2 linked regions of the Saccharomyces cerevisiae S288C genome follow. The gene in region 2 interacts genetically with the main gene of each other region. Each region holds a gene or a part of one and is shown on either strand. Other genes may lie near its edges.

What was found. Genes that interact genetically often act in the same process or in processes that back each other up.
Region 1: mutations in PEX2 (region 2) and MET30 together harm fitness more than expected from each alone (negative genetic interaction), as found in Saccharomyces cerevisiae (2 studies listed by BioGRID).

Annotation. Positions count from the first base shown.
Region 1 is NC_001141.2:265,046-272,358, reverse strand, and holds MET30 (ubiquitin-binding SDF ubiquitin ligase complex subunit MET30), read right to left. Parts: upstream 3,709-7,313; coding exon 1,786-3,708; downstream 1-1,785. Other genes in the region: putative protein phosphatase regulator PIG2, read right to left, coding at 1-1,198; YIL046W-A (uncharacterized protein), read right to left, coding at 3,886-4,050; SYG1 (Syg1p), read left to right, coding at 4,536-7,244. UniProt on the Saccharomyces cerevisiae protein: Substrate-recognition component of the SCF(Met30) complex, an E3 ubiquitin ligase complex that mediates the ubiquitination and subsequent proteasomal degradation of target proteins. Negatively regulates sulfur amino acids biosynthesis genes expression.
Region 2 is NC_001142.9:32,593-40,113, reverse strand, and holds PEX2 (ubiquitin-protein ligase peroxin 2), read right to left. Parts: upstream 3,196-7,521; coding exon 2,380-3,195; downstream 1-2,379. Other genes in the region: CBP1 (Cbp1p), read right to left, coding at 145-2,109; oligopeptide transporter OPT1, read left to right, coding at 3,865-6,264; YJL213W (uncharacterized protein), read right to left, coding at 6,956-7,521. UniProt on the Saccharomyces cerevisiae protein: E3 ubiquitin-protein ligase component of a retrotranslocation channel required for peroxisome organization by mediating export of the PEX5 receptor from peroxisomes to the cytosol, thereby promoting PEX5 recycling.

The sequences.
Region 1 (7,313 bases), on a different chromosome or scaffold from region 2:
GTAGCGTAATTTCTTGCAAAAAAACGGGCCTTCCACGGGAAAGATTCAGAAATATGTTAAGTTTTAAACTCTTACGGTTCCTGTCACTTAATATTGGAAAGTTCTTGTTGTAAAGACCAACAATTCTTTTAGAGTTTCCAATAAACAAGTTGGCTCCTGATTTAGCAGAATTTGTTCTTGTTTCTAAATAATCGTCGTCATCGTTTATTAACAAATTCTTCAACCCGTGCGCAAGATGAGCTTGGTCTTTGTCTTGTTGCCTTACTAAACGGTTTATAGCGTCGTCACTATCATTGTCATTTTCAATATCACTGTCATCGTCACTTAGTTTAAACTTCTTTTTTTTATTTCTACGATTATTAGAATTTGTACCAAATAGGAATACACCCTTCGGGTTTTGTAGCCATGTATCTCCATATTCGTTTTGGTTGTTTTCAGATAGTAAATCTTCTATAGGTACGCTATCACTACCGCCATTAAGGGCACTTAGTCTCGTCAAAGGCTTATGCTTGAAATTCAGAACATCTTGTTGAACCATTTGTTTGCCAACATCTATGGGTTTCTCATTTTCATTGAACAGCTTTATTGGTAAAACACGATCGAAATGGACACTTTTACTTCTTTGCAATAGCCTAGTATCTACATGATCTAAATTGACATGTTTACTCTTAGAGCCAGTTTTGTTGAATATAGATTTGGGAGTAATGGGTAGGGACTTGGATCTTCTTTTTAATGAACTCTTAACCAGTTCTCCAGATTTCTTGTAAATGGGAGGTGAAGGATTACCATTTTCCTCGGATTCATACTGGAAATTATCATGTGATAGAGGAGAGATTTCGTCTTCCTCCTCGCCTAATTTACTGACGTCTTGATGATGTGCGTTAAAGTTCGCTCCAGAATTTATAAACGGGTGATGGGCATGAACTTGTTTCCCATTAAAATACATTCCCTTATTCATGTCCGTATTTCTTTGAAGCTCGTCCTGAGGTAATCTGTGCAGTTTTACATTAGATAGTCTCCTGGGCTTGTGCAAAAACTCCAGAGAGTTCAGCCTGGCAGGGTGCATGTGCATGCTCATACCAGCAAAAGTTCTTATATTCGCATTTATGTTTCCATAGTTATTGTTGTGGGCACTGTTATTAGGAAGATTTAAAGGTTCATCCATCAGTATATTTTGTGGTTGCGTGGTGGTGGCCATACGGATAAAAGCAATAATACTAGCTAGCTATATTATCTTTTTTTATTTATTATTAAGCTATTACCAAAGCTGGCGCCTCAACTGTTGGGTTCTTGTCTATTTTATGTATATTCTATATTTCAAGGATTACGGAATCGATAAGTATTCTATTATGTAATCGCCTTTATATACAATGGCCGTGCGCGTTTATATAATAAAGTACCTTCGCCCTTTGGATTTATTAGTACTGTTGAGGGAACAATATTGCAGATTATGGATCTTGTACGACATTTTATGCGTACGCCCTCTTCATCATCGCCGTCAATATAATAAGCTTTATCTTCAGTCCCCCCCTTGACATCCCCCTTAGCGTGGGAAGGGCTCCGTGGGGGAGTAATAGCATCTAATGGTCAAGAGTTTTATCGAGACGAAAAAGAGGAAGGAAAAAAACTGAAGATGGAAAAGGCTAGTGATACGCTAGCGATTTATTTTTTTCCTGGAAATAAAATAAATGTAAAATGCTATTATGTATTTTTCATTATATATGTAAGCATATATATTCGAGGTACTACGGATGTTTTTGACCAAGAAAAGACCACACACAGGTCCTAATCATTGAGATCGAATTTGTACATTTTTACGCACCCAAATTCATCACCACTAAAGCATTCTGAATCTCCAATACAAACACAAGCGATAGGGGCGACTTTATCACCCAAGGATTGTGTTTGTGTGTGCTGAGTTTCTCTTTGTAGTCTTCGACCGTTGAACGTGTGCATACACTTCCCGCTTTGCAAGTCCCAGACCTTAATGCTTCCGTCGTGAGAACCACTTATAATTCTGAAGTTGTCAGCGGCGATGTCCCAAACACCTTCCACGTGCCCAAACTGTGTTCTTATGCATTTACCGGTTTTGACGTCCCATAGTTTGATTGTGTTATCCAGTCCGCAAGATAGTAGATGTGTTGGATAAGGTATGTTTTCATCTAAGACAGTTTCTTGCTCGTTCGACGGTGTGTCTGATTCGTCTGCACCATCAGTCATTGTTGGGTCATCCTGCGGAGAGCTGCCATCAGAAGTGTTGTCGGTGGCTAGATTCTCTACATCCTTAATGGTAAGCGGTATGATCTTTTGCACCTGCCCTACATGACCCCTGAACACTTTTAGGCATGAATTGGTCCTGATATCCCACATTCGGATTGTGGTATCGTCACTGCAACTAAAACATGAAAAGCTTTTCGGATGCAATTTGACGCAATTAACCCATTCCGTGTGGCCTCTCAAGGTGTAGCATGTCCTGGACTCCACGTGCCATACCTTGACCGTCTTGTCAGCACTGCCGGAAACGATAACCTTCTGGTATGAATCTACGCTCAGAACGCTATCCGAGTGGCCTCGATACGTGGAAATGCATTCACCGGTTATGTAGTTCCAAACACGGATCGTCTTGTCGAGCGAGCCCGTAATCAGCTTTCTATCGTCAAAATATAATGTCTTGACGCCGTCCGAATGGCCGCTGAGCCTTCGTATTAGCTTCCCCGTGAATAAGTCCCATATACCTATGGTGGAGTCGTACGAGCCTGTGAACAAAAGCCTGTAGTTAAACTGGAGCGTTAACACACCATCCATGTGGCCCTTGAATTCCTGAATCCTGCAGTGGCCCTTTCTCCAGTTTGACTCCACTTTGAACCGTTCTCTGTAGATGACTTTCCAAGGTCGCGTAGTTTGCGTCTGGATATCTGCGTTGCTGCTAGATCCTGTACTATTCTGTTGTATCCGCGCACGTTTCATGTGCAAAAGAGGCAGCCCCCAGCCACAGTTGGGACATTTCCTGTCTATGTGCTGCTCGCACATGTGGTACCATACCCTGTCGTCATCCGCGAGCTTCTGCCACTTGCGGCACACTCTCGTGGCGTTGCAAAGAGATTGGCAATCCAGATAACTCAAGATCTTCAGCGACAGCTCCTGCGGCAGAATGCTGATGAAGTCGATCTTGATCATGTGTGTAACGAGTGACGAAATGTAGGAAAGCTGTGGGAAGCAACTCGTCGATAGGATCCCATCCAGAATCAGCTTCCGTATCTTGTCATTGGAATTGCTGTACTTCGAGATAATGTGGTGGATGTCGGATTGCTCCTGCAGGGGTAGCTTCGCGATATTAGCATTAATCTCTTGCGTTCGTTTCAAATCCTGCTTGTAGCACGCTGTATGAGTTGGTGAGAACTGAATGTCCGGGTTATGCCGATAGCAGAACTTGGTGAAGTTATATTCTGGCAATGGCTGTACCCTAGTGCCGCTGTCGTTTGTCGCCAAATCGGGTGATGACGATGGCGACCTCGTCGCCATCGTCATCTTCTTCTTACCCGATGATCCTTGTGCCAAATCATCGCTACTGCCCGTAATAAGCAATCTCTTTAATGGTGGCATCATCGCCGTATCTGTCATTTCACTGCTGTTATTACTATTACTATTGTCAAGGTCGTCCTTGTCCTTGTCCTCGAAACTCATCATCCTTTGCCTCTCTCTCCTCATGCCCTTCTCCTTTATAAATCACCAAACACACACCCCTTTACCGATACTCAAGCCTCTTCTCTAAACTTCTTTAACTGCAGTCTTCTCTTACGATACAGACTGCAAGGTTGCTTTCTTCTTACGCTGATGAAAAAAAATAAAATATCTCCGCGCAAACTGTGGCTTCCCGATCACGTGCTACAACCTCATTTCTACATTAAAACACACACATTGTACCACACACGCCAACACACATATACACGCACAATCACTCCCACACATATACAAACACACGACATATGAATATATATAGTACACGCGCCAATCCATTAGTTTTTTTTTTGGGATACAGACGCACATCATGGCTTCTTGCCCGTTTAGTGCAATACAATAGCCTTGTGTTGCCGTGCCACACCCTGCAGTTATCTCTCCCAGATCTGTCTTTCCATCCCCTTAGTTGCTATCGCTGCAGCCATTTGTTCAAAATCGTTATCACCATCATTCATCATCACTTATCATTATCATGCACATGCTGCCAGCCGCTGCGGCTGGCTATGTGTTGGTAGTCATCGAGTCGGAAGCCCATCATCGGTGTGGGTGTGAGGCATTTCTAGAACGGATTTTGGGTGCCGTTTGTCACGTGGGACGGGATGCGGTTTTATTTGACGCAAGTTCCATGAACATCATCGCACGGTTTCGCAACAGTTTGGGACTGTACATGTACAAGATGGGTTTTCTCCTTTGCTTTTTTGTTTTGTTTTGTTTGATTTGATGGTTGGTAGTTATTTTTTTTTTTTTTTTAATTCAGTTGGCAGCAATGGAAGGGCTTTACCATAGCACCGTATCAGATGAAGTTTGCTGACCATCTAACCGAGTCTGCCATCCCGGAATGGAGGGACAAATATATTGATTATAAGGTCGGCAAGAAGAAGCTTCGCCGCTACAAGGAGAAGCTGGATGCCGAAGAAGAGCAATCCAGCTCCTACCGGAGCTGGATGCCCTCTGTGTCGGTATACCAGACTGCATTTCAGCAGAGAGAGCCCGGCAAAAGTCGCAGCGACGGAGACTATCGCTCCGGACCTGCGTTCAAGAAGGACTATTCTGCTTTGCAGAGGGAGTTCGTTGCTGACTTCATTGAAGACTGGTTGATCTCGTTCCAGTTGAGTAAGTGTAACGAGTTTTACCTTTGGTTGCTAAAGGAGTGCGACAAGAAGTTTGAGGTTTTACAGTCGCAACTGCACTATTACTCGCTGCAGAAGAATTATGAGCGCGACAACTTGAACCGGTCTAGTTCGAATGTTGACATGTCCACGAGTCTATATGCGGCAGGGCTTGCTGGTCGTTCTGACTCCAGGGTCAATAGCATCGACAGCGATAGCCGGTCTGTTATGTATGGGTCAATGCCCTGCACCAAAGAGGCCAAGAAGCCGCGTTTGTCGCTGCTAGCGTACTGTCAGAAAGTTCTTAAGGACAATAGGCTGCTGCCATCGTGGCCCAAACGTGGATTTTCTCTGCTACAGGACTTGAGACAGGATGCGTCCTCAAGAGGCCGCGAGACGTTTGCTTTTGGCGCTTCTTTTCTGGAGACTATGACGACAACCCAGGCTAGAAACTTGTTAAGCAACGCTATAATCGAGTACTATCTGTACTTGCAATTGGTCAAATCGTTCCGGGATATCAACGTCACCGGGTTCCGTAAAATGGTCAAGAAATTCGACAAAACGTGTCACACAAGAGAGCTGACCACGTTCATGTCGTACGCCAGGACCCACTACACCCTTTTCAAGCACGCGGATGCCAACGTGCAGTTGGTGGCACAGAAGATGCAACAAATAACCAGTTCGCAACCAACACCCACTTCGGAGCTCTCTTCCGCCCAAAGAGACAAAGAGCCCATCACTTGGTTGGAAACGCAGATCACCGAGTGGTTCACCACTGCGTTGACCAATTCGCCTAAGGACAGGAAGCACAATACCCATAAGTTGAAGAAATTGACCATTCAGTACTCTATCTCCGAACAAATGGTTCATAGAAACAACAGATCGATTGTGCAGATGCTGGTTGTCGGGCTGGGCATAGGTGTGTCAATGACTTTGATCACTTACACTTTGTATTTGGGCATTAGCTCTGAAGAAACGTCATTTACGCACAAGATTCTGTTCCCACTGTGGGGTGGTTGGTACATGGTTTTGTTGATCGCGTTTCTCTTTCTTGTTAATTGTTTTATCTGGCATAGAACCGGGATTAATTATAGATTTATTATGCTGGGTGAGATTCAATCCAAGAATGGTACGCAATTTTTCAACAATGATTTTGCCACGAGTAAAATTCCGCTCAAGTTGTATTTCTTGACATTCTTCATAGTACCTTGTGCGGTCTGTTCCATGTTAAGTTTCGCTTTGGAGAAGCTCACACCCTTAGGCTTTTTATATATTGGTATTGTGTCTTTCTTATTTTTATGTCCCTCTGGTCTAATTCCATATTGGGACAAAGTTGTACACACTAGAAAATGGCTGGTGGTTACTCTTATTAGACTGATGATGTCTGGTTTTTTCCCTGTTGAGTTTGGTGATTTCTTTTTGGGAGATATTATTTGTTCGTTGACGTATTCTATTGCCGATATTGCCATGTTCTTCTGTGTTTACTCTCATACGCCCAACAATCTATGTGGCTCTTCACATTCCAGAGCAATGGGTGTTTTATCATGTTTACCAAGTTATTGGAGATTCATGCAATGTTTACGAAGATTTGCTGATTCCGGTGATTGGTTCCCTCATCTTTTGAACGCGGCGAAATACACTTTGGGTATAGCGTATAATGCCACACTTTGTGCTTACAGATTGTCAGACCGTTCTGAACAAAGGAGAACCCCTTTTATCGTGTGCGCTACGTTGAATTCGATCCTTACTTCCGCCTGGGATTTAGTTATGGATTGGTCCTTTGCTCACAATACTACTTCTTACAATTGGTTGCTAAGAGACGACTTGTATTTAGCTGGTAAAAAAAATTGGGAAAACGGCAGTTATTCATTCAGTAGGAAGTTAGTTTATTACTTTGCTATGATTTGGGATATCCTCATTAGATTTGAGTGGATTGTATACGCAATTGCTCCTCAAACAATTCAGCAGAGTGCTGTGACGTCGTTTATATTGGCCCTTTTGGAGGTTTTAAGAAGATTCGTTTGGATCATCTTCAGAGTCGAAAATGAACATGTTGCCAATGTTCACCTATTCAGGGTTACCGGTGACGCTCCTCTGCCTTATCCAATTGCGCAGGTCGGTGATGATTCTATGGATAGTAGTGATTTGGGTTCAAAAGCCTTTTCATCACTTAACGACATACCTATCACGCCTTCACATGACAATAATCCTCACAGTTTTGCCGAACCTATGCCCGCTTACCGTGGGACTTTCAGAAGAAGGTCCTCCGTGTTTGAGAACATTTCGAGATCCATTCCTTGGGCACATGCAACTGATTTCCAAAGACCAACTGTCAATACCGTGGATGATAGGTCTCCCGAAACAGATAGTGAAAGTGAAGTGGAAAGTATTATGTGATTTGGGCTGGACATGATATTTGCTATTGTTAACCTGCTAAAGATGCTTATTTGAGGAAGTACAAAGAAA
Region 2 (7,521 bases):
ATATAACATAAAATAATACATTTATTTGATGATCAAAAAAAGAAAAGAATTAGGATGCAATGCTTGGATTTAGTATATATTTACAGAAATTTGTTTTGTTATTATTTGCTTTGTTATTTATATCGTAAATGTGCGTTTGGCCGTTCATCTTAAGTAACGTTTGACAGCCGACACACCATGCTTTTTAATATCTTGTATGATCTCCTTGTTTGTTTTGAACTCTGAATTTCTAATTTGATGTTTTAAGATGAAATTCCAGTCTAACTTCAATTCCTCAATCGTCATACCGTTCTGGTATAGTTCTGCGCACGCCCAAAGAAAAATGTCTGTTCTTCCTATCTGCAGTGCGCTTAATGCAATATTCCTTAAAATAGTAAACCTGTTTTGATTATTCACTTTTAATTTGACATCACATGGGGAGGATGCAATGAATGGGTTACAGTTCGATTTTGTCCAGTATGTTTTACTTCTCTTTGCAGCATTTATATAAAGTAGTTTTGCCAAATCGATATCCTTCTTGGCATTGGCAACAAATTTACCATCTCGCTTTTTATAATGACAAAGTTTTTTAATGTATAAAGCGGAAACCACATTCCAAAGAGAGTTTCTGTGGTCAGGATCAAAATCATGTGCCTTCGTCAACAAATCGTTTACAAGTGCCATCAAATTATCGGTGAACTTGACCTTTGAAGCCAATTTCCAATCAACTACTTCGTTAATTATTGACCCATAGGCTAACATTGCTTGTCCGGGGGGTATAGTATCGAGTAATTTGACTGCCTTAGCGATATGATCGAGGTTTTGTGTTTTGAAAAGGTGAATAATTATTGCTTGATAATTTTCTTGCGAAAGCGCCCTGAAATTTGTTGTTATTTGCTTCAAAACCCTATCTACACCGTTAGAATCGTTAAATTTCAAATGCATTCTTAGCAATGAAGAAAGACATCTCTTGTTAAGCCAGACAATATGATGGTTTTCGGGTAAAGTGTATCTGTTAATGTTCTGCATGAGTTCCTTGGCCATTGTTAAAGAGTCTTGCTTTGTAATGAAGTCAATAATTGCCGGTAATATCAAAGGGTTATTACAATAGTACTCTGGAGTTAATTGCCAAAACATTTCGCTACATATAGATCTATAGGCTCTATTATGGGTACAAATCTTGAAGACTTTATAAATGATTCTGGAATCATGTGCAGAAATGGAAACATAGTGCTCTTTGATTTTGTTCCAAATAGAATACACACTTGCAACATTTCCTCTTCTATAATTTTCATCAATGGACTTGTACGCAAGCAGCACTTGATCATCCCGAAGCTTCAAATCGTTAGTCAAAGAATAGTTTATATTCATCAGTTTGTTCAGTATAGCCTTGCATAATTGCGGGGCTTCATTACTTAAGCCGAGGGCCTTATTAGAAAGAGTTTCTAATTGAAACCTCGTTAACTTTATTCCGCCTCCGGTTATACTTTCGAACAGAGAGTTCAGTTGTAAATATTTGACTAGATGAACATGATCATGCAGTGGGTTTGGGTACGCTAATACTGATATTATTTTCTTAGCATATTGTTCGTCTAGCTTTTTATCATCTGTAAATAATCTGTAGTACAGCAGGAAAAGGTCGGCAGCCATAACTATGTCTCCTGTGCCGATGGCATCATCAACACACCAGCGCATAGTATCCAATTGCGTAGTCAAGGGCTTTTGATGTCTTACGGATGAAACTTGGGAGACCACTTGATTGACTAGATCCAAGTTTTTCTTGCATTGGTACAAACATTCTCTTCTATAAATTCCTCTTGTAGTCATAGATGAGGTTTTTGTGCGATTGATGAAACTGATGAAATCTTCGATCTTGACCTCGTGTAATATAGAGCTTTCCAGTAAGCTATTTTCTTGTTTCCGAAGACTTTTGTAGTCCGCCATGTCAGACCAATATTTCCGTATTTTCAACTTGTCATTGTCATTTAAATTCGCATTTGCTTTGATAAGGGCCAAGACCTGTTTTTGAATTGGATCCCTGCTGCTGTGGTTGATTCGTCGCAAGGTCCTGGTAGGTACCATTTTTATAAACCTCTCGGTCCTGTACCGAACGAGACGAGGTAAAAACATTGCATGGAAAGGGAAACGTGCAAAATGCAAACTACTGCTATCCTAAAGTGCTCACTGTTTATTATTACTGGATTTCAGACGTCGCTTCCCACATCGTCCCGTACAGCGTTCCATGATGATATTATACCACTTCTTTATTGTTTCTTTTTTTTCTTGAGCAGAAAGTGAAAAAAAAAAAACCAGACCCTTTACCACGTGACCGATTTTGACAACATGAATATGAATATAGTATACACATATATAGAGATACAAGCGAGGGAACGGGGCCCTTTAGTACACTGGTGAGGCGGTCAGTCTCCCAGAGGATCCACAGGCATCGCACATAGACCACTCCAACGCCTTTACAACGCACACGTAACAGTAGTTCGCACGACAACAAGCGATCTGGTATGGGTTGGTTGGAAAACCGCCGCAACGGGGGCAAACTGTCTTATAAGTAGTCGTAGAACGAGACCTTGGTGGTTTTTTAACAAAGGTCAAGAGTCCTCTTTTCGTAAGTAGTGTATTGGAAAAGAGTTCTAATAGTGCATTCCATAGCAATTGTCTATTCTGGTATTCTAACCCAGCGAATACAGAGTTCGAATAAAATTCAGAGGCAATTGCAGAACCATCCCGAATCAACCTTGTGGAATGGACATTAAAAGCCCGGTATAACGGCGACAAAAACGCCCTCGCATTGGGCCCTTCCGCTGCTAGAAACCTCAGGAAGTTGGTTACATCACAGCCGTGATACAATAAATTAACCCATTTGTACAGCTTCAGCCACATCATCTGGTTCCCACAGTGCGGCCCATTAAAAATAATATGTGTGATCTTCTTCCACACGTACCCTGCCAAGACAGTGACGACATACAAGGTGCGTTTCCTGCACTGAAAAACCACGCCACTGAGTGCGGATCCATACGTACAGCTAGAGCCATAGTGTGGCAGGAACCTCGTCGCGCACATAAACACAACTGTGTTCAGTGCCAACTCCCATTCCTCTTTGTGTTCACTCGTATTGAATGCTGCATTGAACTCGGACCAAAACTGTCCATACAATTCTTTATCAAGCGCTATCGAGTCGAGCTGTGCAACTCGAGACATGCTGCGTTGCCTTTAGATTACGTCTTCTCAGTTATCTCGGCAATCTCTCCTCGTTATGCTTTCCCTCCGTCTTCACTCATCCCTTATAATGCGTTTCCCAGCAACCTTATCGATAGAATGGAGGGGAAATCGCATCCGTTCCACTCCTCGGATCGATACTAACTTCCGAGACGTTGCATCAAAGGCCAAGACATGGCATTAGTCACCCTTGTTGCAACGATAGACGCATACTACGGACCCCTCAAACCTCCCTACCTGCCCGTCGCTATCGCATTAATTTTCTTTTTTTCCACTATTTTTCCGGCCCGCCACACCTCCGACTACAAGACGCCACATCTACGTTTTGTCACACAAAATCCAGGACAATAGCCGTCTGCAAGGCACCAAGGTTTTCAGCAGTTGCTTGTTGCTGCTGCCTGTTAATCACATCAAACCCACTGCAAGGGCAGTCGATGGGTCTGTAAACGCCTTAGCAATCGTTGTTGAAGAAAGAGAGCTCTTATCATCATGGGGTGCCCATCATTTTTCTTTTTTTTTCAAATTTTGGGCTATTCAATGAATTGTTTCGACTATATATGGACAATCATCGGAAGCTGTGTATTCTTGGTAAAAAGTTTTCGACTGTGTGGCAGAAAATAACCGCAACAATTATATAACGTCACAGAACACATGAGTACCATTTATAGGGAGAGCGACTCGTTGGAGTCGGAGCCCTCGCCAACGCCAACAACCATTCCTATCCAGATCAATATGGAAGAGGAAAAGAAAGATGCTTTCGTTAAGAATATTGACGAGGACGTCAATAATCTCACTGCGACTACTGATGAGGAGGACCGCGATCCGGAAAGCCAAAAATTCGACAGGCATTCCATACAGGAGGAAGGTCTCGTTTGGAAGGGCGACCCTACATACTTGCCCAATTCTCCATATCCTGAAGTGAGATCGGCGGTGTCCATCGAGGATGACCCCACCATCCGCCTCAACCACTGGAGAACGTGGTTCTTGACCACGGTGTTTGTGGTAGTTTTCGCCGGTGTTAATCAATTTTTTTCCCTGAGATATCCATCGCTAGAGATCAACTTCCTTGTTGCACAAGTTGTTTGCTACCCAATTGGTAGGATACTGGCTCTCTTGCCCGACTGGAAGTGTTCTAAAGTGCCATTTTTCGATTTAAACCCGGGCCCATTTACCAAAAAGGAACACGCCGTGGTCACAATTGCCGTGGCGCTTACTTCCTCTACTGCATACGCTATGTACATTTTGAACGCCCAGGGAAGCTTTTACAACATGAAACTTAATGTCGGATATCAGTTCTTGTTGGTTTGGACATCTCAAATGATTGGTTATGGTGCTGCAGGTCTTACCAGAAGATGGGTCGTCAACCCTGCAAGCTCTATCTGGCCTCAGACTTTAATTTCAGTGTCCTTGTTTGATTCGTTGCACTCGAGAAAAGTTGAAAAGACAGTCGCAAATGGTTGGACGATGCCCCGTTACAGGTTCTTCTTAATCGTCCTTATCGGATCGTTCATCTGGTATTGGGTACCTGGATTCCTCTTTACCGGTCTGTCCTATTTCAACGTTATCCTATGGGGGTCGAAGACAAGACACAATTTCATCGCTAACACAATCTTTGGTACTCAAAGTGGTCTCGGTGCGTTGCCAATTACATTTGACTACACCCAGGTTTCCCAAGCCATGTCCGGCTCTGTTTTCGCCACACCATTCTACGTCTCCGCCAACACCTATGCATCAGTGTTGATATTCTTCGTCATAGTGCTGCCATGTCTTTATTTTACGAATACCTGGTATGCCAAATACATGCCCGTCATTTCAGGTTCTACTTATGACAACACTCAAAACAAATACAACGTAACAAAGATTCTTAACGAGGATTATTCCATTAATCTTGAGAAATATAAGGAATACTCACCGGTATTCGTTCCATTTTCCTATCTTTTGTCGTATGCTTTAAATTTTGCCGCTGTTATCGCCGTTTTTGTCCACTGCATCTTATACCACGGTAAAGATATTGTCGCCAAGTTTAAAGACCGTAAAAATGGTGGCACTGACATTCACATGAGAATCTACTCCAAGAACTATAAGGATTGTCCCGATTGGTGGTATTTACTTTTGCAGATTGTCATGATCGGTTTAGGATTTGTAGCAGTGTGCTGTTTCGATACTAAGTTCCCAGCTTGGGCATTTGTTATTGCAATATTAATTTCCCTTGTAAATTTCATCCCGCAAGGTATCTTGGAAGCAATGACTAACCAACACGTAGGTTTGAATATTATCACAGAATTGATCTGCGGTTATATGCTGCCTTTAAGACCAATGGCAAACTTATTATTCAAGCTATACGGATTTATTGTCATGAGACAAGGCTTGAATTTGAGTAGAGATTTGAAATTAGCCATGTACATGAAGGTTTCCCCTCGTTTGATCTTTGCCGTTCAAATCTATGCCACTATCATATCAGGCATGGTTAACGTTGGTGTCCAGGAATGGATGATGCATAATATCGATGGCTTATGTACCACCGATCAACCAAATGGCTTCACTTGTGCTAATGGTCGCACGGTTTTCAATGCTTCCATTATCTGGTCTTTGCCAAAGTATCTTTTCTCATCAGGGCGCATTTATAATCCGCTGATGTGGTTCTTCTTGATTGGTTTGCTATTCCCACTAGCCGTTTATGCTGTTCAATGGAAATTCCCTAAATTTAAATTTGCTAAGCACATTCATACTCCTGTATTTTTCACAGGCCCAGGTAATATTCCACCAAGCACACCTTATAACTACTCATTATTTTTTGCAATGTCATTCTGCCTAAACTTGATAAGAAAAAGATGGAGAGCTTGGTTCAATAAGTACAATTTCGTCATGGGGGCCGGTGTTGAAGCAGGTGTGGCAATCTCCGTCGTCATCATCTTCTTGTGTGTACAGTACCCAGGTGGTAAGCTCAGCTGGTGGGGAAACAACGTTTGGAAAAGAACGTATGATAATGATTATAAAAAATTTTATACCTTAAAGAAAGGTGAGACATTTGGTTATGATAAATGGTGGTAATCATGAAAACATAATAATAAACCTGCAGAGGTTCATATCAAGTTTTAATTCAAAATTTGGCACACGTAATAGCAAACTTTAGTTCATATTCTGTAATATTAAGAAATTATTTTCTTTTCTGTCATCCTTTCATATTGCTTAACTTGAAATACTTTATCTCAACGTTTAATTATACTGTTAATAATGATATTTCTATATTTTAGAGCACATTTTGGTCGAAACATTCAAAGCGACCCCTGCAATATTTAGCGGAGGCATCTCATCCGCCTTATTTTTGTAAATTAACGATCTTTAGCGCATGCCAAGTGTTCGATAACAAATTCCGACTTTAAGAAAAAACGGGCACGAGCATACAATAAAAAAACTTTTAAAATTTATACCTCCTTGAGGTGTTCTATTTTATGATAGATCCGTATTTCAGATACCAAATGTTATATACACTTTTTTAAGCTTGGATTTTTTTCTGAATACACGGACCTTACAAATGCTATAAAAAAAAAAAAGATTCTGTAACTTGTAAAATTAAGGGCCCTAAAGGGCCATATCCACCTCACATTTCACTGTGATATAAGTAGGATATTTTGACTTCAATACTTAAATTTACAAGCCAAATATTTTATTATGACTTCAAAAAAAAAAAGGCTTCTAGCATTCAGAAATAATGCTGACTGTGAAAACAACTATAACTACATCAATATATCCTTCCCTCTTTCATGACAAATAGTATGTTGCTCTCGGGTTCATCCAAAATCGTTATATCGTCCAACGGATTTGATTTCATCATCAGTAGGTCAGCAATGAACCCTGGCTTAATCTGTCCCAATTTATCGCCTAATCCGTTCATTTCGGCAGGAGTAACAGTTGCTGAGAGCAAAATCTCTTGTGTCGTTTGAACTTTCCCTCTAATACGAAACTCTTGCGTTTGATAACCATATAGAGGACCCAATAAATCTGAACCAAAACAAATTTTAACTTTTTTTTTCTGGGCAATTTTCATTGCATCAATTCCTTTGTAAAGCACCTCTGTATTTTTTCTACTATTTTCAGGTCCCAAGAATGCACTAAATTGATCAGAACCCATCACTTTGTAGGTAACTAGTGTTGGAGTCAAGTAGCAACCCAATTCTGCCATAAGCTCTGCGGTACGTTCATCTAATAAGTTTCCGTGTTCGATACCCTTAACACCTAACTTGATACAATTTTGTATCGCTTCCGCAGTGTAGGCGTGTGCTGTTACGTATGTGTGGTAACTATTTG